6 linked regions of the Cricetulus griseus genome follow. The protein of the gene in region 1 interacts with the protein of each later gene in a pairwise test. Links are inferred from orthologs where the notes say so. Each region holds a gene or a part of one and is shown on either strand. Other genes may lie near its edges. The genes, in order: Amotl2, Brms1l, Krt20, Rad51d, Thra and Mfap1.

Region 1 (4,220 bases):
CTTGCTTGTCAAACATCTTGTTAGATGCCCCTCTAAGCACCAGTGAACCATAAGACTGTGCCGTATGGCCTTTCTCCCGATTTTGTAACTCAGAGCGTGTGTGCCTGTACCTACTCTATAAGTGTCTCCACCAAGGGTTTCCAAGAATGCTGTCCATGAAGTGAGGACACCTGGGAACCTCCTCTTTTGCCTCTGCCACAAGACTCTTACCTAGTGCAGCTAGTGGGGACAATAATGTGTATGATGTTCCGGCCACAGCTTCTCTTTATATAGTGTCCTTTAGCTGGGCACATTTGTGGTTTTCTCATTTGGCTCAGACACAATCAGAATCTGAAATGCAATGTTTGAATTTCAAGCAAAACATATACATATTTTAGGGCTTTTTGATTTTCGTTTAATTTTGTATGTATGAATGTTTTGATTGCATGTACGTATGAGCACCATGTTGGTGCCTGGTACCAGCGTGGTTCAGAAGTGGGTGTCAGACCTTCTGGAACTGGAGTTAAAGATGGTTGTGAACCACCAGGTGGGTGCTAGGAACTGAAGGCATAGATCCTCCACAAAACCACGGGCTGTTAACCAGTTAGGACCCACCCTGACACACACACACGCTTTTAAAGAGAAGCTTTATAGAAAACTTGCCACATCCCTGCCTATTGGACTTGAAAGGTTTCTTGCCCCTTGTCCTAACTGTGCTGAGGGAAAGACAGACAGGAGGACCCAGCTAGCCAGCCGCGGAAATCAGCCCCGAGGAATGAACACCACTGGGAGCTCTTACTGGAGGGAGGAGGAGGGAGTTAGAACAGCCTTGCTTAACGAGGGGTCTCCTGGAAAGGTAGAAGGAGGACCCAAAAAGACGGGGTGCGGGTGGGGGCATTCCACGCAGAACAGCAGAAGGTAGCGAAGCGGACAGGAAAGAGGGCTGGCTGGGTGTAGGAGAAGTGGAAAAGATATTGGAATTGGGGACAGGTGGGTGAAAGCAGAGACTTAGGGAGCCGGGATTCCGGTGATCACGAAAAGAGACCTGGCTTATCAGCTACTCTCTGTGTGACCCTAGGTAAACTGCTTAAACTCTGAGCTTTGGTTTCCTATTTATTACAAAGACGATGAAAGAACGCTGTCAGAGAGTGACTGGAATCTGATGGCCGAATGAAATGCGCGTGGTGGCCCGTCGTGTACTCGGCTTAAAGCTGAGTGGAGTTGGGGAGGAGTTGGACCTAGTGCCCAGTTGAGAGTGATTCATTTGGGTAGTGGGTCAACTCCACATTTTCAACCCAGATTCACACTTCCTGTAGAGGCAGGATCTAAAAGAGCTGGAGAAGGTGTTTGTAAACAATAAAAGTGCAATTCAAAGTTTGCCGCTGGGGGGTGAAATAGTAGGGGTTAGAGAAGAGGCTGGGCAGCTGCAAGCCGAAGCATCTGTTCGTATGCAGCACGGTCAAAGCTGGGCGGATGTGGACTGCTTTGCAGTCCTCCCGCCATCTCCAAAACGCCAGAGAGACTCCCTCCCGCAGCCACCAGAGGGGCGTGCGAGGCATATCCCTGGAAGTCGTTCCTCGGTGCTTGTAGAGATGACCGGTGAGAACCGGGAGCGGACAGTGGTGGGGAGGTCTTGGGCCGAGTTGGTTAAGACACCTCCAACAGCTAGGACAGTAAGGCAGGGGGCAGGGAACGCAGCACGGCCGCCAGAGCCCAGGGTGGCGAGGGGACAAGGCTGAGGCCAGCCCAGCGGCCAGCCGCAGCGCCGCCTCCCGGGAAGAAGGCGTGGGGCCCGGACGGGGAGCGGGAGGAGGCGGAGGGCGGAGGAGGGCGGCGCGCTGAGAGGTTATTTGTGGTTCGCTTTGATCCCGAGGGGGAACCTGAAACTCTCACATTCCTGGCATAGCAGCCGCCTCCAGCGCGGGCTGACCCAGGGGCTGCGCACTGGGGCGCTAGCAGCCAGAACGTCGGCGCCACCGGCGAGTGCGCACCTTCACTGCCGAACGTACCTAAGCCGAATCCGGTCTGCGCGCGCCGGCAGCCGCGGGCCGCAGCGGTAAGAAAGGTGTCCGGCTCTCCGGGCAGCGCGCGAGGCCAGCGGGGACGCTCCCCAGCGGCACCCCGACTCCGCCATCAGCCCGGCCTTTTCTGGGAACCGGAGCTGGGGTGGACGACCCTCTCTGGGAACGGGAAGGGGAGGCGGTGCACCCTTTCGACGATCGATCCTAGGTGTCTGTCTAGCCCGGGGAGCCCTACGGTGTGCGCTTTTTTGAGGGGGGGTGAGAGGACACGACTCTCCGACCCACTGGGGCTGGAGGAGGGACAGAGGTTCGGTGTTTGGGGATGTGAGTCTCGCGATTGGGGCAAGTGGAAAACGGCTGTAGGCATATCTTGCCTAATGCAGGGTCCCAGTGGCTGCTTTGTCTAGATTGGGGATACAGGTGGCTTTTACCCTCAGCTAGCTCAAGAATTCCTCTTTGTCTTCCTTGGAAAATCCTCTCCGGAGCCACGAACTGGCTCTCACTTAGAAAGAATGCAGCCTGCTGTCCAGCCCGGTGACGTCAGCGCTGGAGTATTTGGAAAACAAAGAGGTCTAGGGAGAGAGGAGGACCCGCGATGCTTAAAGACCTCTGTCGCGGTTGCGGGTTATGCTTGTCGGGAGCACTCAGGCAGCCATCGGTGCTAGTGGCCCGCCTCAGGTCGAGAGGGAGCCCAGGCCAGGGCCAGAAACGCGTGTTTGCTTAAGAAGGCTGCTTTCAGAGTGCAGAGCTCCAGAGCAGCCCAGGTGCAACGCCCGGGTAAGGAAGCTGGTTTTAGTAATGGCTCAACTCTAGGTATTTGAAAGATTGTGCATCTAGGGGATTAGATTGGGAGCCGTGTGCGGTAAAACGCTTCGGAAATGTTCCTTGCTCCCGGAGCCTGGCTCATAGTTGGCGCGCCTGGAATCTGTCGCGAAGGCTCTGCATTCCTTCTAGCCGCTCCCGGATCCTCCTTAGCGGGAGTCAGCCCAGTGATTAACTTAGGAAATGCCGCGAAGAAAAAGCTACGGGCGAGCAGACTCAAGTCTTACACATTGTAGGGTGCAGTGGAGAGAGAATTAGATGCTACGAAGAGTGAATGGGTTGCGTGCATAGATGTCCACAAGACTCACTTCCTTCCCCCAACTCTGCCAACATACCATTCCCAAACCGGGGCGGGGCACGTTTCCCCCGCCCTCCCCTTCGTCTTTTCCCTTACCCCATTACCCCATCAGTTGGCTCAGGTGGTTGTTTCTAATGTCAACAGAGATGCAGGGGGACCGTCCCCTATGTGCCTAGGGTACATACAAGTAGAGGCTTTTCTAAGTAGCAGGGCTGTGTCGCTGGCTCCAGTTACTGCAAGCGCACCCCTCTGCCTCCTCCCAAAAACCATTGTCCTTTCTCTCTTTAGCCGCATTTGCCAGGTCACACGCAGCTTCTCCTGCTGCTCACCTTGCAGAATGATTGCTAAGGTCATCTATGACAAAGAAACTGGGATTCATTTTATAGGCAGCCTTTGAAGAAGCTTAGTCTGTCTCTCAGGGACTGTCTGCTTCCAGGAAGAGAACCCCATGGAGGGTGGTGGACTGACTACCTGTGGCTCAAGCATCTTCATTCTGAAGAGTCATGGGGGTCATTTGCTTAGGGCTCCTTTCTACCAGGCTACATTCATTCTTTACCATCTGCTAGTAAACTGGGGTCTGGACTGTTAAGTGGTTGAATTGGATGGAGGCTTGTCCTAGAGTCATTCATGAGACTGCTTGGTGTAGTGGTTGACTGCAGGGGACCATGGTCCCTATTGGATAACTTTCTGGTTTTCTGTTGTCTTTCTTTTTAAATATATACTTTTTTTATTTTTATTTTACGGCATCGGTGTTTTGCATGTGCGTACATGTCCGTGTGAAGGTATCAGGTCTTGGAGTTACAGTTGTTAGAGCTGCCATGTGGACTAGGAATTGAACCCAGGTCCTCTGGAAGAGCAGTCAGTTCCCTCTTAACTGGTGAGCCATCTCTACAACCCTTCTGTTGTATTTCTGTAGGATCAGTTAAGTCTCCATAAATGTCATTACAATGATAAGCATTTGTCAAGGATTGGTAGCTCACCAAGTGCTTGACTTCTCCAAGAGGCACACTGTATTTTCCCTCAGTTAGTGGTGATTAAGAATACACTGTTTTTTGGTTTTTGTTTTGTTTTGTTTTGTTTTGGGACAAACTGAGAATCAG
Region 2 (3,500 bases), on another chromosome or scaffold:
ACTACTGTGACTGTACTGGAAGACAGCCCTGTGTTCTTCCAGGCCAGCTTATTTGCCTTGGAGAAAGGAAAGACCAGGGCAGTATGAAATGTGGCCATTTCAGGGTGAGGATAGGGAAGTTTTCTATTGTGCACTGATAAATGTTTTACCAGGTTGGCCCACAGTTCTTGAGTATGTTTTGTTTTTGTGGTTTGCATTTTGCTTTTCTGCTATACTTGGGGCAGATTTGATGAGATCAGTGCGGGTGTTCCCTTGCTTGTGAGTTGGGTGTCTGTGGACAGTTGCTTAGTTTTTCTTAATTGATGTCCTTGTCTGGAAAAGTGAAGTAAAAAGAATAGGTACTTCAGGGCTGGTGAGGCGGCTCAGTGGTAAAGGTGCTTGTCCCCAAGGCTGGCAACCTGAATTTGATCCCCAGCACCCATGTGGCGGGAAGAGAGCCTACTCTCACCAGTTGCCTTCACATGTGTGCTGTGGTGTTCAAGTGTGCATACATACACACCACACCTGATGAATAAGTAAATAATGTAAAAAAGAAAAAAAAAACCTACCTCTGTGTAGCTTCCTTGGAGTTTTGTACAGTTTTGTATGTATGTAAGCAGTAAACATGAAATTATGTACTGCTCTTTCTTCCTGTGGCCACTGGAATCAGCTCACACTTTGATTTGCTTGCAGAGCTGTGGAATGATGAGCTTCAGTCAAGAAAAAAGAGGAAGGATCCTTTCAGCCCCGACAAAAAGAAGCCAGTTGTCGTTTCAGATATCCTTTCCCACAGTTGCTGCGCTTCCACACAGTCTGTCTCCGTTACTTCAGCACACACTGATTTTACTTGGACTGTCCCAGAACAAGCATGTGAAGACTTACAAAATGACTGAAGCCAGAGATAGACTGTTGCCTTAGAGGGCAGGGGAGAATAGAAACTCCAGTCATCACCTCAGCTTTGAAAATTGTCAGTGTCCTGTCCACAGGACTGAGGGGGAACAGCTGTTTATAATAATACAGTGTGATTGGTTTTTATGGGTGCTTTTTGTTGTTTTTGAGACAAAAATCTTATATGTATCCCAGGCTGGCCTTGAGCCCATAGTCCTCTTGCATCTGTTCACAGAGTGTGCACCATATTGGGCTCTGAAGTGTGTGGTATTCTCACTGCTGAGTTGACCTTGACCTCTCAACGCCCATATATAGTTTATATGCTGCAGGATCTTGATATTCTTGAGGACTGGACAACAATTAGGAAGGTATGATTAATGAATGTTGCAAGAGTTTACCTTTTAAGAGTTTGTTCATCAATATATGAGAATATAATCATTGTAAATATACTCTGCTTTGTAGTAGGCCATAGAATATTTTAAGAATTAGAGACAAGTTTGTGATTTGTATTTTTCCTGAAATAAAGTAATTAGTAATTTATAAAATAATATGGAATTACATATGTTTAGTTTATCCTAGAGTATTTGGGTTTAGAGCTTTGTCTGTCTTTGCCCTATAGGAGGCACTCCGTAGATATTTGTTGAATGAATACATTAAACTTTGAGTGTCTTATATTCTATTAATAACTATCAAGGCATGAATGGACTCTGATGCTTGTTTAAGAATAGAACTATGTATATTGCCATCTTTTTACTTATTTCTATTACTGTTTTTACTTTTTATTTTGCTCAGACTGTCCTAGAGTTCACTTTGTAGCCCCCATAGTCTTTGAACTTGTGAGCCTTCTGCCTTGGCCTTCTTGGGATCTGGATTATAAGCCTGTGCCACCAGACCTGGCTTGAGGCTTGCTTTCCTTATTAAAAATTTCAGTTTTTATAAATTATCCAGAGAAACATTTCGGCTGTTAATAAATATGGGAGAAGGTATTCTCTGTTTTTTCATCCTATTTATTATTATTATTATTATTTTGGTTTTTCAAGACAGGCTTTCTCTGTATAGCTTTGGAGCCTATCCTGGCACTCACTCTGGAGACCAGGCTGGCCTCGAACTCACAGAAATCCGCCTGCCTCTGCCTCCCGAGTTCTGGGATTAAAGGCGAGTGCTATCAACACCGACTAGGTATTCTCTGTGACCTTAGAGACCATTAGTCTGGAGGCTGGGCATGCCTCTCAGTTCTAGCGTGCTTGCCTAGTGTGCTTGCCTAGTGTGCATGATGCTTTGGGTTCTTCCCCCAGCACAAGAAAATGAGAGCTGCTAGTGTTTACATTTTATTCTGTTACTGAACCAATCAAGAATGTTGTATATATTATAGAGAGCAAAATGCATTTTCAGTAGTCTGAACTCAGATTTCTCCCCTCTTTCTCTCTTTTTTCTAAGGCAATGGCTACACTGGGTCCACACCGTGTTAAGACCGAACGTAAGTCATGAGTTGTGACATCCTCTCTGTGGAGAGCCGTTGAATCCGAGTGGTTAAATGCCCTGTGTTTTGAGGAGCTGCACACCACTGGTTCCATGAATCAACAAACTCTGTAACCGACCTTACAAGGAGCTCGAGAGTCTCCTGCTTCATGAAAAAGCTTGAAAGTTTCCAATGCTCTGTATTTCTTCTTACATTGTTAGGCCATATCTTTTTTACTGATATTAGATCTGTAATTCAAGATGCATTTACCCCCAGTGGTTTTTTTTTTTTTTTAAATTGGCCCATTACTTCTTTAAATGAAGTGTTTGGAACTCATGAATTGGTTCCAGGGAGTTCAGATTCTCTGGAGTTGTCTACTAAATTTCTTAGGAGTGCTTTTCCTCCCATCAGCAGATACTAGAATTCTGACAGTGGAGTACTGAGAGATTTATCTGCCACTGAGATTTACATGTTGTGTTTTGAGACAGGGCTTTGCTAAGTAGCCTTGGCTGGCCTGGAAATTATGATTTGTTTGCCTCTGTCCCCTGAGTGCTTGTGCTAGTGCTAGAATTATATATGCTTTTGTTGTTGTTTTCAACTTTAAGATAGCTGCCAAAGTTGTGATGAACATTGGTGTCTATTTCTGCTTCTTTTTGGGTAGATTTTTATAATGCTTTAAAGGGTTATTAGCTTTTTAAAAAAGCATATTTGAAATAGTAAGGAAAAGAATTCTTGTTTCATTTTAAAAGCATCTTTAGAGGTATTTATCTTTAAGAAAGTTTCAATTTTTTTAATGATGACTTTAAACTTTATTTCATATCAGTAAATTGCAGCAGTGCTGTATCTATATACTACTCTTGACTGGAGGAGACAGATGCCCGAATCTCTAGAATGAGTTTTGGGTCTTTGATTTTTCTTGGTGTGTGTGTGTGTGTGTGTGTGTGTGTGTGTGTGTGTGTGTGTGTGTGTGAGTGAGAGAGAGAGAGAGAGAGAGAGAGAGAGAGAGAGAGAGAGAGAGAGAGAGAGATGTGTTTGTATGTATGTTCACATGTGTGTGGGTGTGGGTGTGTGGGTGTGTGGGTATGTGGGTGTGTATATGTAGAGGCTAGAGATTTATCCTTGATGGTTCTCTACTTAATTTATTGATGTAAGACTTCTTGTTAAATAGAATTCT
Region 3 (3,956 bases), on another chromosome or scaffold:
GGGGCTCTCAAGGCTCCTGCCCTAGTCTAGGAGTTCCTGGAAGCTGAGAGTTGCTGGAAGTCAAGAAGAGAGTTGGATTTTCTTTGGAGGTGTGGCCACCTCCCACACCCCAGTACACCCATAAGTACACAGGCAGCACTAATTAGATTCATGAGTTATTTTTAAAAAGAGGGGAGAGCATAAGTTGGATGGGAAATGTGTTGGGGGCTTCTGGGGCAGTTGGAGAGCGAAGTCAGGGTAGATGTTATCAAGATACATTATATACATATATGAAATTTCCTAAAACTACTATTGAAAGTATTTTCAACTCCAAAATCAACACCTATACTCATTTACTTATTCACCACATTCAGTTCTCAAACTCCGTGTGTGTGTGTGTGTGTGTGTGTGTGTGTGTGTGTGTGTGTGTGTGTGTGTGTGTGTACTCACGTGCCCATGTAGCAGGCTGGTGTCAAACTTGCAGTAATCCTCCTGTCTCTGCTTCCCAATTGCTAGAATTACAGGTGTGCACCAGGACACCCAGCCTCATACAAGATATTTCAACAGACTAAAAATATAAGTTCTAAACAAGGATAAACTCAAAAGCAAATTTAAAAAAAAAAAGAGCATAAAACAGAGGTTCTGAAAAGCAGCTCGTCATTGGAACAAGCCTTTGTCTGTTCTCACCAGTATGACTTACCATTGTGTTCCCACAGCTGTCTTGTTCAAAGCCTGAATTATTCATATAGATTGTAAATATTCTTTATTTGTACACGGGGATGAAAAAAAAACCTGCCAGGGCAGGTGCAAGATCTGAAAGAACACCCCTTCCTCATTCTTTTTGATACTTGTGTTCATTAAAAAGAAATCACCACTCCCTCCTCCCCCCGCCCAGCGCGCGCGCGCACACACACACACACACACACACACACACACACACACACACTAGAAAAGCCTTAATAAAGTGTCTCTAGTGGTCATTTCTGGAATAGGATGAAACATATTGCTGTACAAAAGAGGGGGAGGTAGCAAAGTGGACTGTGTCATTCCTGAGGTGACAAGGCAGCAGAGGAGGAGTGTCTCTCCTGAACTCTATAAAAGGTCAGCTCTCCAGCACCAGAGACAGACAGGCTGTGCTCCAACTCCAGGCTACAGGTGCTGCCTCCCAGGATCCCAGATGGATTTCAGTCGTCGAAGTTTTCACAGAAGTCTGAGTTCCTCCTCACAAGGCCCAGCACTTAGCATGAGTAGCTCCATGTACAGGAAGGGGAGCGCCCAGCGCCTGGTGGCTGCACCCAGTGTCTATGGTGGGGCTGGAGGCCACGGCACTCGCATCTCTGTCTCCAAATCTGTAGTGAGCTATGCGAGTGATCTCTCCAGTGGAGGGGACCTGTTTGCTGGCAATGAGAAACTAACAATGCAGAACCTCAATGACCGCTTGGCAAGCTACCTAGAAAAAGTGCGGTCCCTGGAGCAATCCAACTCCAGACTTGAAGTCCAGATCAAGCAGTGGTATGAAACCAATGCGCCTAGCACCATCCGGGACTACAGTCCCTACTATGCACAAATCAAAGAGCTGCAAAATCAGGTAAGTCATGGACCTGTGTTTTCGACATTACTGTTTAGTAGTATACTAGATTAAGGGGGGGGGGGTTGTGAGTGTATGCTAGGCGAATTCAAACACGTGAAGCAAATTAGGTTGAACTTTATAGCTGAAAAATCTATTTTATCATGTGGCATTAGTGTAAACAGGATGCGTTTAACCCACCTAATTACATATAAAATGTGATGATCTTATCATCCAAAATTACAGCCTGTGTCTTTGTCGTGGCTTCCAATGTCAGGTCTTCATGGAGAATAATCTTATTTTTAAAAGAACTCCAAGGGTTTCTATGTGAGTTTCCCACTAGTCTTCACCAACTTTGAAGACTCAGATCAATTTAAAGAGATTTTTCTCTTTTCATCCATATAAATGTTACAATTCAAGTGTCATCCTGCTATGGGTATAAATATTACAAGGGTTCAGAGTGCAGACAGACTACAGATATTATAGTGTCTGTATTGACTGACAGATGGGTAGATGATGGGTGGTAGGGTGGATGGAAGGAACAGCTTTTGAATACAAGATCTCCCTGTATATCCCAGGCTAGTCTGCACCTCACCGCTCTCCTGCCTCTACCTCCTCAGCACTGGGATTAGCCACCATGCTCAGTTTCGCTAAGTGGATTTTTTAATGTCCTGTTTAAGTTTCTGCTGACCATCATCAAGCATTTTATAAAGCACTTCAGCAATAATAAAATGTTCTATTGCCCCCAATTCAAATTTATTACAATCATATCACAATCTGTTCCTGTGTCATCCAAGATAGGTGGGGTTCTCTCTCTCTCTCTCTCTCTCTCTCTTTATAAACCCAGTGGACTAGAAGTGGGAGACTTTGCTCCGGGCTGACAAGGTCAAGCACAGCACACCATTTGCTTTGCTTCAGCATTCTTATCTAATCAAGGAAAGTGTCCCTTTCTGGTTTGCGTATATTTAAAATGATTACCCCTTTAGAGCAAAGGCCATTGACTTGGCCCGAAGGCCTCTTTGCTGGAGCTGTATTATAGGTACCAGTGCAGCCTGATTCAGATTCACAGAAACAATCAGCTCAGGAAGCTAAGGTGGTTACATCACCCTCAACAGGGAGTTCCTTCAGGCTTTCGCTGAAACACATTCAAAATGATTGTTCTCCAGCACTGCTCTCAAGGTTGATGCTTCTGAATTGACTCGGGGATTACCCATGATACCTCAGAGCAGCCATTAGTACCTTCTAGCTGGAAGCCTCTCAAGGGACCTCTCTCCAGGAATAGCTACTGAAAGAGATGTGTCATTTTCATGTCTTCTAGAAGTAGACTTCCCGTCTACATGCATCTTAAAGAATACAGTGCTTGTCTTTCAAGTACAAGAACCTGAGTTCGATCCCCAGAACCCAGGTTAAAAAAAAAATTGGAGAATGATGGTGTGTTCTTGTAATCCCAAGATCCCTGGGGTTTGCTGGTCAGCCAGCCTGACCTACTTGATGAGTTCCAGGACAATGAGAGACCCTGCCCCTCCCCCAAAAAATGTGGACAGTACCTAAGGAATAGCATGGAAGATTGTCCTCTGACCTACACATGTATATACCTGTACATATGAACACAGAGAGAGAGAGAGAGAGAGAGAGAGAGAGAGAGAGAGAGAGAAAACCAGGGTGTGTCCATCCTTCCATCCTAATGCCTAATGCCTACCAGATGGCAAGTTGTCATTCACTCACTGTTTCATAGACACTAGCTGGGTACTGAGCATCACACATAGAAGAATGTGTGGGTAAATAAAGTGTAAGGTGGAGACAGGCCTGGACCAAAGCAACTGTCACTCAGGTAAACGCAGGAAGGCTGTACAGAGCCACAGAAGCAGGGACACGGCCCTGCTAGAACTGGGGGATATCATTGAAGGCCCCCTTGAAGCCACGGTGTCTGAGCTGAGAGCTGAAGGCATAGGAGCTCCCCAGGTGAGGAGGGCTAACGGCAATATTCCAGGCATGAACATCACCACAGACAAGACACTCAATAAGGTTCAGGGATATGGATGAAGTCCAACTTCTGTTTTGTACAAAAACAAGAAAGTGGGTCAGACCAAGAGTCCTGTTTTTAACTATTACCTCAATACCTGTGTCACTATTGCACCTAATTACTCTCACACTTTTGAAACGGACATCGCTTTTGATGTAATTACAGTTGTCTCTGAGGACAAATGAGATCTTTTTTATCTCCAGCCCTGATGAAAATGTCATTCTTTCTCTCTCTTATGCTTTCCAGATTAAGGATGCTCAAATTCAAAATGCTCGGTGCGTCCTGCAAATTGACAATGCTAAACTGGCTGCAGAGGACTTCAGATTGAAGTAGGTTCCCTACATCACAGTGACTATAGGTGTGTGTGTGTGCAAGTGTGCGTGCGTG
Region 4 (3,995 bases), on another chromosome or scaffold:
ATGGTGAACATGGGGAAATATTTCTAAAAATGGGCCAGACTTCTCTGCTATGGAGAGAGCACAAGGTAGAAAGCGAACCCACATCTTCCGGGGAGGGGAGAAAACAAGTTCAGAAACACTGGCTTTGCAGTTGGATGTGGGCTTGAGATTCAATTCTGTGCTTGCTAGCTGCGTAACTCGGAGAATAAATGTCTTCCTGAGTCACAACTCAACTACAAAATACAGAGAGAAACAGAACCTCACTCAAAGGTTTGTGACACTGCTTTATTTCTCCCACTGGATGTGGTAAAGAACATTTCAAAATAGTAAACTGTGTTTCACATGTTCTAAATACTCAAGCATTGACTCCCACTAAAATCTTTGGAAAATGCCTGGTGGTGATGGTGTACATCCTCATTCAAAACACTCAGGAGGTGGCCAGCCTGGTCTATACAGTAAGTAGCAAGACAGCTAGAGACGCACAGAGAAATCATGTCTCAGAAAAGAAAAACCTTCAGAAAATATGGGGCTAGAGAAGTAGATGCTGAGTTATGAACGCTGGTCCTCTAGAACAACCAGTGCTCCTAACTGCTAAGCCACTTCTCTAGCCCCCATCTGTAACAAGTCCAAGGGAATCTGACCCCCCTCTTTGGCCTCCTCAGGCACCAGTCACGTAAGGGGTGCACAGACATCCATGCAGGCAAAACATTTATATGCATAAGATAAAACTTAAAACACTTTTTTTTTTTTTGGAAAATACAGGGGTGCAGGTGTGAACTTCACTGGATCATACAATCTGTAATGGTGTGAACTGATTGCTCCTTATTGTCTGTTTCCCTAACGTGAATGCTACTAGAAGGCGGGTATGCTTCACTCAGTAAGTAGGGTGTGAATGTCCCTAGCGTTGGGAATGGAGGCTAGTACACAAGGGACTCGGGGGGGGGGGGCAGGGGGAGAGGAGAGGGAGAGAGGAGGAGAGAGGAGATAGAGAGAGGGAGGAGAGGGAGAGAGAGGACAGAGAAGAGAGAGGGAGAGAGAAGAGAGGAAAGAGAAAGAGAGGAGAGAGGCAGAAAGAGGGGGAGGGAGGGAGGGAGTAGCTGAGACTGGCAGGTGGTTGGCCCTAGCCTGAAGGCCGCCGCGTTTGCCCGCTTGGTCAGCAGATGGCGCTACAGGCCTGGGCCACAAAAGCCGCTCCAGTTGCGGAACCCGGAAGCGTCCGCCGGGAGGGGGCGGGTCCAGGGCTCTGGAGTTTGGAAGGGCTGGTGTCCCTCACCCCGATCTGCATCCTCTTCCCGCCCCCTTCCCGCGCTGGCGTGCCGAGACTCTTTCCAGAAGTGGGACCTAGTGGGGGGTCTCGGCGGGCGCCCATGTGACAGCCCCCGGGGCGCCCCGGGTTTGCAGGAAACATGGGCGTGCTCAGGGTGGGGCTGTGCCCGGGCCTCACCGAAGAGATCGTCCAGCTTCTGAAGGGCCAAAGGATCAAGACAGGTGACCTCCTGGGCTCGTGACACATAACATGGGCACGACCGCGGGGGTCGGCGCCATGGTGTTGGCACACGTGCGGGGCGTTTCAATCTAACCGGAGGCCACAATTTGACCTCAGTATGGGGTTCTCAGGAGTCAAGACGGAGACAGAGGACTCGACTGTGTGCTGGGCTCCTCTCCGGGTCCTGCATCAGGGCCTGCGTGCTTGAGATGGGGAGTAGACTAAGACCTTAACGCCATTTCCCAACAGAGGAAAAGGCAAGCGTGGCAAAACTAAAGCATTCCTGTTGTTAATAGGTTGCTCTTGGTCTCTTTCCAGTGGCGGACCTGGCAGCTGCTAACCTGGAGGAGGTAGCCCAGAAGTGTGGCTTGTCCTACAAGGTGAGCTTACCATGTGCAAACTCCATCCCAATGTCTCTTCTAGAGCGGGTCCCCATGCTGCAGAATCAGAGTTCCCGGAAGTTGCTAAGGGGCACTAGACCTAGATTGCTCTGCGGGACAAGCTGGTCACTGGCAGTCTGGGTGCTCTGGAGACTGTGTGTCCGTACTTTTGGCAGGCCCTGGTTGCCCTGAGGAGGGTATTGCTGGCGCAGTTCTCGGCTTTCCCATTAAACGGAGCAGACCTATATGAGGAACTGAAGACTTCCACTGCCATCCTGTCCACAGGCATTGGAAGGTTTGTATGTTTACCTGGGCAAGAACTTGAAAGCCGAGCTTCCCATGCGGAGACTACAAAGGGCAGGACCGGTGAGGGCAGTCTGGATATGTCAGGGAACCTAGAGGCATCTGAACTCCTGAGATTTTTTTTTTTCCCCTTAGAGTATAAAGACAGGGGTTCTTAGCCTCAGCACTATTGAGACTTAGGGAGCAAGTAATCATTTGCTAGGGTAGGGGTATCCTGTGCATTGAGAGACGTTTAGCAGTAACCCTGGGCTCTACCCATCAGATACCAGGTCATTTCTTCTGCCCTGAGTTGTAACAATCAAAAATGTCTCCAGATATGACTCAGTATCACCTAGGAGACATCATTTCCCACTGAAGAGCCATTGTCCTGTAACACATGATGTCACTAATGCCCCATTTTTTATAATTTATTTTTTAAGTTTCATTTTACATTCCAACCTCAGTTCTCCCTCTCATCCCCCCTAATATCCCAGTTTTCAGTAGAGTCTCTGATACTTCAGGATAAGGTAAGTGAGACCAGGACAGGATTGAGATTTCCTGGGAGTCTGCACCTAAAGTCTGACCCTAGGGCAGTGGTTCTCAACCTTCCTAATGCTGTGACCCTTTAATACAGTTCCTCATGTTGTGGAGACCCCCAACCATAGAATTATTTTTGTTGCTACTTCATAACTATAAGTTTGCCATTGTTACAAATTGTAATGTAAATATCTGATATGTGACCCCTGTGAAAGGATTGTTCAATTTCCCAGGAGGGTCAGGACCCACTACCATAGACTCTAGATGTTAGAGATTTTTTTTCCAAAGATTTTATTTATTATGTATACAATATTCTGCTTCCATGTATATCTGCACACCAGAAGAGGGCACCAGATCTCATAACGGATGGTTGTGAGCCACCATGTGGTTGCTGGGAATTGAACTCAGGACCTCTGGAAGAGCAGCTGGTACTCTTAACCTCTGAGCCATCTCTCCAGCCCCGATGTTAGAGATTGTTGACCTCCTTTGTGGTTAGCCTAAGAGGAGGGGTCGGCAGAAGTGAGCCCAGGGAAATATAACCCAGAGCCTTATGCCTTTGCCGTAGGAGGCAGCAGCCAGGAACATGTACACTCACTGAAAAGAGCAGTTATATTGTGCCCTGTTGTTCGGGTTGGGAAAGAATTGGAAGACAGCTGGCATTTTCTGGCCAAGTAAGCCTGACCTCTCTTCTGGCCTGTTTGTGCGGAGTTTGATGAATAACACTGCTATCACAAAGGTCTTTGGATTGGTCTGGCCCTTGCTGTTTCCACAACACACTCTTGGCAAGGTCCGCACAGTCTGGTGCTTGCTTCCACTGTTTGGGGGGTCTGTGTTTGTAATCCATCAAACATTGGCTGAGTGCCTACTGGGTGCCAGACACATGCAGATACTATCTGTACGAGTGAGGCAAGGCTCCCACTCTTAAGTATGGTGGTTAGTGTATATGGGAGACTTGTGGGTGCGGCAAGGAGGCACATTGGCTTTGGAGCCCAGGGAACTTATAAAACCAGCATCCACAGAAGGAACAGTGAGAAGGTACACTGGCAGGATTGCAGCTGCAGTATTCATGGGTGGGGGTGGGGGCTCAGGGTGGGACAGGTAGCCTTGGCATAGGCAGAGCTGGCCCTGAGTGCTCACCTTGACTCTGACACTGTGCTCAGCATTTCATGGCATGCATTTCATTTGTCCTTCATAACCCCTAATGTGAGTTCACTGCCCTTGAAATCATCTATGTATGTGTACATGAAGGAATAGGGACTTAGGTTCAGGCACCGGCATAAGATCCTGCAGCTACTAGGTTAGATGGTAGATAGATTGGGCACTGGAGGTCA
Region 5 (3,500 bases), on another chromosome or scaffold:
TAATTTATTTATTTGTATTGCACATTGGTGTTTTGCCTGCGTGTCTGTCTGTGTGAGGGTGTTGGATCCCCTGAAACAAGAGGTACTGACAGTTGTGAGCTCCCATGTGGGTGCTGGGAATTGAACCGGGCTCCTTTTAACCACTGAGCCATCTCTCCAGCCCCCAGTTCTGGTTTTCTACACCTTTGCTTTCTGGAGCCTGTCTGTTCCATCCAGTGGGGTGCTCCATGAGAACTGGGCCTTATCTTCCTGAATTCCAAGGTAGAGCTAACCCACAGGGACTGAGGACAGAGTCAACATAACAGTATTGTGGGGCACCTGCAGGGCTCCAGGCGTTTTATTGAACCCTCACAGAACTTACTGCCAAGTTGAGGGCCGGAAGGCGATGGACCACTGGGGCCAGGCTCCCTGAGTATGCTAAGGGATGGAAATTACACTAAGGACTGGTTGTGTGACTCTGGTCATACCATTTAACTGTGCTAGGCTTCTGTCTATGAAGTGCTGTCTTCCATAAAGATTTGTGATGAGGATTAAAAGGAGCTATGTAAAACAGTGTGGCCAGCCTATGGTCTGCTGCCGTGTTTTCAGTCGTTATGGCTGTGTTTTATTACGATTTATTGACTACTATTCTCACTATTATCAGCACTAGCAAATTTGAAATGCTCGCCCTGGGCTATCCTTTTGGAACACAGTCATGGCTGGGATTTTTTTCCCCCAGGCTGCCTTGGAGCTCCCCCTGGTGGGCAGGGAGTCTCAGTGAGCAGTTGAAAGGGGTCCACAGCCCCAGTGACCCTCATCTCTCTCCCTCTAGCCGGATGACATTGGCCAGTCACCCATTGTCTCCATGCCAGATGGAGACAAGGTAGACCTAGAGGCCTTCAGCGAGTTTACCAAGATCATCACCCCGGCCATCACCCGTGTGGTGGACTTTGCCAAAAAACTGCCCATGTTCTCCGAGGTGAGTGGCAAATGGAAGGAGAGACTTGCTAGAGGGAACCTAGGATCATTTCTGAGGTCACACAGCCTCACTGGGTATTCCTCAGATATTTTCTGGACAGGGGGTGATTCTCGTAGCTTGTGTATACACACACACACACACACACACACACACACACACACACACACACTCCTTGAGTGACCATTTTACCTCCAGGCAGCATGACTCATTTCTTCATTCTGCACAGCACTAACTGGAAATAGACTGTTGTACTAGCTGTGGGACCTTGGCCAACTTACCTAAATGCCCTGTACGTCAGTGTTTTGAAGAGGACTGGAAGAATGATGGGACCTCACTCTTGGGCCTAACTGTGGGGTTTAAGTGCATAAGTGGCCATGGCCCAGCAAAGAGGGTGGGGAGGTTGTGGGGCATGGAGAGGATGTACTGAGTGGCCTGTGCTCCTGTTGTTCCACAGCTGCCTTGCGAAGACCAGATCATCCTCCTGAAAGGGTGCTGCATGGAGATCATGTCCCTGCGGGCAGCTGTCCGCTATGACCCTGAGAGCGATACCCTGACGCTGAGTGGGGAGATGGCGGTTAAGCGCGAACAGCTCAAGAATGGCGGCCTGGGTGTAGTCTCTGACGCCATCTTTGAACTGGGCAAGTCACTCTCTGCCTTTAACCTGGATGACACGGAAGTGGCTCTGCTGCAAGCTGTGCTGCTAATGTCAACAGGTATCTTGCCATGGCTGAGAGGTCCCAGAAGCTCTCAGGAGCTCTAGAGTTTATTTACACCTAAGGGTTCTTGCTTTCCCCTTTATTGATCTTGCATAGGCACTGTCTCATCTCTTCACTCCCCGGCTCCCTCTCTGTTTATCAGTCCCTCCTCTGCCCCCTAGTCCTATATTTTAATTATTTTTTTTGTCCTCGTGTTTGGTCTCCAGACTATTTATTGCTTTTGATCTCCAACCTTCTCTCTGCCTCTGTTCCCCCTCTGCCTCCAGTTTTCCTCTCTTCTCAATGCCATCTCTGTTTCTCCACCCGCCTCATGGATCGCTTCCTCAGGTTCTTAGGGGCCTTCCTGAGTCCCGGTCACCTATTCCTACCAGGTTGGCCTCTAACTCAGAAATCTGCTTGCCTCGGCCTCCCGAGCGAGCGCTGGGATTAAAGGCGTGCGCCACCACTGCCCAGCCTTGATCTCTCCTGGCGTCTCTGCCTCAGAGTCCCTTCATGCCCTCCTGAATGTTTCTTCTGCATTTCTCTCAGACCCTCGGTATTCATGCCTCCTGCTTTCCCTCCCTGCAGACCGCTCCGGCCTGCTGTGTGTGGACAAGATTGAGAAGAGTCAGGAGGCGTACCTGCTGGCGTTCGAGCACTACGTCAACCACCGCAAACACAACATTCCACACTTCTGGCCCAAGCTGCTGATGAAGGTGACTGACCTCCGCATGATCGGGGCCTGCCACGCCAGCCGCTTCCTCCACATGAAAGTCGAGTGCCCCACCGAACTCTTTCCCCCACTCTTCCTCGAGGTCTTTGAGGATCAGGAAGTCTAAAGCCTCAGGCGGCCAGAGGGTGTGCGGAGCTGGTGGGGAGGAGCCTGGAGAGAAGGGACAGAGCTGGGGGCTGAGGGAGAACCCCCCACCTCTTCTCTCCTTCCTCCCATCCTTGGATAGATGCAGCTCCCATATACCCCTGCACTGCCCAGTCCCCCTCAGAACCTCCTCCAGCCCTTGGACAGGGCAACAAATGAACTTGCTATGAAAGACAGTGTGGGAGGCTGGGGCCTAAGTCCTAGAGTTTCTGGGACCCTAACCTCTAAGAAAATAGGGGAAGGGAGGAAGAAATAAGAGGGACAAGCCATCCTGATTGTAGGGTCAGGAGGAATGAGGAATAGGGGCAGATGCCCTCACTCACCCCTATATACACAGGAGAGCCCTGCCAAGTTTCTTGGCCTAGATTCCCTTCAGGCCACAGGTCTCTACTTCCCCAAATACCTGGGTCCTGGGTACAAAGGACAGTTTGGCTTGGCTCCTCCCCTGGAGGCTAAAATGGTAGTCATCCTTACTGCACTTTGGAAACCAAGCGAGGGGAGAATATAAATGAAGAAAAACTAGACAGAAAAGACAAAAAAAAAAAAAAAAAGACAAAAAAGAGAATGTTAGAGAGAGAGAGAGAGAGAGAGATGATATTAAGTTATTAGCTGAGGCTGGCCCAAGGGGAAGGACCCCCTCCCTTCCCACCCCCATGCACTTTGAGAGCTGCCCTTCTGACCCCAGAGAGAAATGCCCCCAGCAGACCTACAAGGGTAGGGCTGCTGATTCGAGCTGTGAGATGACAGAACAGGGTCCTGGCGCCCCCTTGCCTTGCCCCCACCCTGTGCCCCTTTGGCACCGCACCCCAGTACTTCCTCTGCTGTCTGCCACTCGTGCCCGCTGAGTGCCATCTACCTCTCACGCTGGATGCCAGCTGGCCCCTCACCAGCCTGCCCTGTTGCCCACACAGCTCCCCTTTCAAGTGCCCAGCCCCAGGGGCCTCCTGTCTCCCTCCTCCTACACCTTGGC
Region 6 (3,500 bases), on another chromosome or scaffold:
ACTTACCTAGCTAGGCATTGTGGTAAATTGTTTCTAATCCTAACATTCTGGGAGGCTTGCCATGAGTTTGAGGCTAAGCAGCACTCCATAAAAGTCTTGTCAACAGACAAGGTGCTTAGAAAGATGGCTCGGCAGTTAAGATCACTAGCTGTCTCCCAGAGCACCCAGGTTCAATTTCCAACACCCACATGGCAACTAATAGCCATCTGTAACTCCAGTTCCTGGGCATCCGTGCCATGCCTTTAATGCCTGCACGCAGATCTGTGAGTTCTAGGCCTCTCTGGTTTACATGGGGAATTCCAGGCTGGTCAGGGCTATATAGGAAGACACTGTCTCAAAAAGTGAATAAAAATGAAATTTTTTTAAATTTAAGGGAAGTCTTTAAAGACCAGGAATATAACATATGTCACACACACAAAGGTGATAGTGGGGGAAGAAATAGAGCTGAGATGCTTCCTGGTTTGGGCTTTGTCTGATTCGAACAGGACTAGATCTAGAGGGACACAGTTCCACTCTAAGGACTTTGGGCAATTAACAGGACCTCTGTGATGCAGGAAGGACCGAGTGACAGTTCAAGAACGAGAAGCTGAAGCATTGAAACAAAAGGAACTGGAGCAGGAAGCAAAACGTATGGCTGAGGAGCGGCGCAAGTACACACTAAAGGTGCTGGGAGTGGCCATGGATTGAGTGCAAGGGTCTGTGTGATGAGGTTATAGAGAGATGGAGTCCAGTAGCTGAATTGTCCTTTTCCAGATTGTAGAAGAAGAGACCAAGAAAGAGCTGGAGGAGAACAAGCGGTCTCTTGCTGCACTGGATGCGCTCAATACAGATGATGAAAATGATGAGGAGGAATACGAGGCCTGGAAAGTCAGAGAGCTCAAAAGAATCAAGAGGGACAGAGAAGACCGAGAAGCGTGAGTAGTGGGAAGCCATTGATGGATTGAATGGCACTGGTTTATCTGTGGAGATTGACCAAGCAGTTCCTCTCATAGTCTCAGTGGGCTCACCTGTACAATGCCTCCAGCTGGAGGACTGACTGGGCCAGAACATCAGAAGCCCTTCTCTGGCATGTCTGACAACTGATGCTGCCTTTCAGGCTAGATGCTCACACTGCAGCTCCAGGCATAATGGAAAACTAGCAAGATCTCCTGAGTTTTAAGTTCCAGGAGTCAAATGTCACTTCTGTGCTATTTTTTTATTATTCAGATGGAGCCAAGGGCAGCCTGGGAGAAAGGGATAGAGGAGCAGATTCTACATCTAAGAGTGTAGAGCAGCAAGTACCTTGAAAAGCAAGTTCATTTCTGAACTGCTAACTCACAAAGTAAAGCCACCACTACATAACTGTCTTTATTTTTTAGTTTCTGATGTTCTTTTTTTTTAATATTTATTTATTTATTTTTATGTGCATTGGCGTTTTGTCTGTATAAGGGTGTTGGGTCCCATAGACCTATAGTTACAGACATTTGTAAGCTGCCATGTGGGTGCTGAGAATTGAACCTGGGTCCTCTGGAAGAGCAATCAGTGCTTTTAACCACTGAGTCATGTCTCCAGCCCCTCTAATGTTCTTTTTTTTTTTTTTTTTTTTTTTGAGTATTTATTTATCATGTATACAGTACATGCCATAAGAGGGCACTAGATCACATTACAAATGGTTGTGAGCCACCATGTAGTTGCTGGGAATTGAACTCAGAACCTCTGGAAGAACAGTCAGTGCTCTTAACCCCTGAGCCATCTCTCCAGCCACCCCCTAATGTTCTTATACTGAGCTTTTTTTTTTTTCCTTTGAGACAGGGCCCTTGGCTGTCCTGGAACTCACTATGTAGACCAGGCCAGCCTGGAACTCACAGAGATCCACCTGCCTCTGCCTCCCAAGTGCTGGGATTAAAGGCATGCGCCACCACTGCCCAGCTGAGATTTTTTTTTTTTTTTTTTTGGTTTTTCAAGACAGGGTTTCTCTGTGTAGCTTTGGGGCCTATCCTGGCACTCTCTCTCTGGAGACCAGGCTGGCCTCGAACTCACAAAGATCCGCCTGCTTCTGCCTCCTGAGTGCTGGGATTAAAGGCGTGCGCCACCAACGCCCAGTCATGAATGCTCTTAATGCACGCCAGAAGAAGGTATCAGATCCCATCACAGATGGTTGTGATCTACCATGGTTGCTGGGGATTGAACTCAGGACCTCTGGAAAAGCAGTCGGTGCTCTTAACTGCTGAGCCTTCTCTCCAGCCTGAAATTTTTTAAATTATGTGTATATGTGTGTGGATATGTATCTGTGTGAGTGTAGGTGCCTGTGGAATCCAGAGCAGGGGGTGGGCATCACTTCCCTATAGCTGGAGTTGAGTTATTCTTGGACATTTTTCTTGTTTTTAAGACAGTGTTCTATGTAGCCAATGGTGACCTTCAGCTTCTGCTCCTCTGACTTTGCCTTCTGAGTGCTAGTTACAAGCATGTGGCCTCATGCCCAGTTTCTATAGTGCTAGAGATAGGAATTAGGCTTCATGCACACTGTGTGAGCACCATACCACTGAGTCACATCCCCAATCTTTGCATTAGACTTTAATGTTAAAATTATATATATATATATACATATATTTGTCTGAGACAGAGAATATAACCTCCCTTTCTCCCCAAATAAGGTTTAAATCCACTGTACTTAATATTGGTAATCCTTAATTTGTGGCAGGTAATATATGGATTACATTATGCTTATGAAAGATTATAAGCTCTCTTATCCATTTTTTTATTCATTTTAATTTTGTTTTGAAAGCTAAAGTATTTGAGGGAAGACAGAATTAGTGTTGTAAAATCAAACATTATATGTCTGAATCTCAGAAAGGCTAGATTCAACTTTGGAATGTTTATAGCCCTGTTCTGGTAAACACAATAATGAAGACCAACTCATGTTTTTGTTCACTGGACTCCCGAGCTTGACTTCTGACAAGCAGTTAACAGAACTAAAGATGTAGTCAGGTGTAGCAGCATGAGCCTATCTATATAATACTAGCAGTTGGGAGAGGAGGTCGGAAGTTGAGAGTTCCGGGCAAGCTATAAAGCAGACCTGCTGTGGATGAGTGAATGAATGAAATGTGAAAAGGTGAATAATGGCTGAAGAAGATGAGACCATTATCTTCAGAAATTTGGGCTTTTTGAATTTGGAAAATACTAATACTTTTGCTCTCTGAATAGGCTTGAAAAGGAGAAAGCAGAGATTGAACGCATGCGAAACCTGACTGAGGAGGAAAGGCGAGCTGAACTTCGGGCGAATGGCAAAGTCATTACCAACAAAGCCGTTAAGGGGAAATACAAGTTTTTACAAAAGTATTATCACCGGGGTGCCTTCTTCATGGTAAGTGAAAAGGGAGTCAGAAAACTGGGCAATGGGAATAATTTACAGGCATGTTGAACCTTTTGACATTGTAACATGACCTTGCCATCTGTACACTAAAAAGAAGCGATGAAGATACTTAAAATAGGCTGTTTCATAGTGGTGCACACCTTTAATC

What was found.
Region 2: the proteins of Amotl2 (region 1) and Brms1l interact in binary tests that used the Homo sapiens proteins (3 or more experiments, as listed by UniProt). The two-hybrid records come from large-scale screens. The link is inferred for Cricetulus griseus from reciprocal best matches to the Homo sapiens genes AMOTL2 and BRMS1L.
Region 3: the proteins of Amotl2 (region 1) and Krt20 interact in binary tests that used the Homo sapiens proteins (3 or more experiments, as listed by UniProt). The two-hybrid records come from large-scale screens. The link is inferred for Cricetulus griseus from reciprocal best matches to the Homo sapiens genes AMOTL2 and KRT20.
Region 4: the proteins of Amotl2 (region 1) and Rad51d interact in binary tests that used the Homo sapiens proteins (3 or more experiments, as listed by UniProt). The two-hybrid records come from large-scale screens. The link is inferred for Cricetulus griseus from reciprocal best matches to the Homo sapiens genes AMOTL2 and RAD51D.
Region 5: the proteins of Amotl2 (region 1) and Thra interact in binary tests that used the Homo sapiens proteins (3 or more experiments, as listed by UniProt). The two-hybrid records come from large-scale screens. The link is inferred for Cricetulus griseus from reciprocal best matches to the Homo sapiens genes AMOTL2 and THRA.
Region 6: the proteins of Amotl2 (region 1) and Mfap1 interact in binary tests that used the Homo sapiens proteins (3 or more experiments, as listed by UniProt). The two-hybrid records come from large-scale screens. The link is inferred for Cricetulus griseus from reciprocal best matches to the Homo sapiens genes AMOTL2 and MFAP1.

Annotation. Positions count from the first base shown.
Region 1 is NC_048597.1:210,958,158-210,962,377, forward strand, and holds the start of Amotl2 (angiomotin-like protein 2), read left to right. Parts: upstream 1-1,420; 5' UTR 1,421-1,427; coding exon 1,428-1,578; intron 1,579-1,848; exon of another isoform or gene 1,849-2,035; intron 2,036-2,463; exon of another isoform or gene 2,464-2,777; intron 2,778-3,264; exon of another isoform or gene 3,265-3,997; intron 3,998-4,220. UniProt on the Homo sapiens protein: Regulates the translocation of phosphorylated SRC to peripheral cell-matrix adhesion sites. Required for proper architecture of actin filaments.
Region 2 is NC_048598.1:146,525,975-146,529,474, reverse strand, and holds part of Brms1l (breast cancer metastasis-suppressor 1-like protein), read left to right. Parts: intron 1-672; coding exon 673-756; intron 757-1,170; coding exon 1,171-1,235; intron 1,236-2,304; coding exon 2,305-2,344; intron 2,345-3,500. UniProt on the Homo sapiens protein: Involved in the histone deacetylase (HDAC1)-dependent transcriptional repression activity. When overexpressed in lung cancer cell line that lacks p53/TP53 expression, inhibits cell growth.
Region 3 is NC_048600.1:113,147,868-113,151,823, forward strand, and holds the start of Krt20 (keratin, type I cytoskeletal 20), read left to right. Parts: upstream 1-1,156; coding exon 1,157-1,567; intron 1,568-3,815; coding exon 3,816-3,898; intron 3,899-3,956. UniProt on the Homo sapiens protein: Plays a significant role in maintaining keratin filament organization in intestinal epithelia. When phosphorylated, plays a role in the secretion of mucin in the small intestine.
Region 4 is NC_048600.1:96,308,849-96,312,843, reverse strand, and holds the start of Rad51d (DNA repair protein RAD51 homolog 4), read left to right. Parts: upstream 1-1,195; 5' UTR 1,196-1,385; coding exon 1,386-1,467; intron 1,468-1,783; coding exon 1,784-1,845; intron 1,846-2,021; coding exon 2,022-2,140; intron 2,141-3,995. UniProt on the Homo sapiens protein: Involved in the homologous recombination repair (HRR) pathway of double-stranded DNA breaks arising during DNA replication or induced by DNA-damaging agents. Bind to single-stranded DNA (ssDNA) and has DNA-dependent ATPase activity.
Region 5 is NC_048600.1:111,846,855-111,850,354, forward strand, and holds part of Thra (thyroid hormone receptor alpha), read left to right. Parts: intron 1-811; coding exon 812-958; intron 959-1,412; coding exon 1,413-1,671; intron 1,672-2,241; coding exon 2,242-2,369; intron 2,370-3,500.
Region 6 is NC_048599.1:56,948,267-56,951,766, forward strand, and holds part of Mfap1 (microfibrillar-associated protein 1), read left to right. Parts: intron 1-554; coding exon 555-663; intron 664-753; coding exon 754-914; intron 915-3,183; coding exon 3,184-3,343; intron 3,344-3,500. UniProt on the Homo sapiens protein: Involved in pre-mRNA splicing as a component of the spliceosome.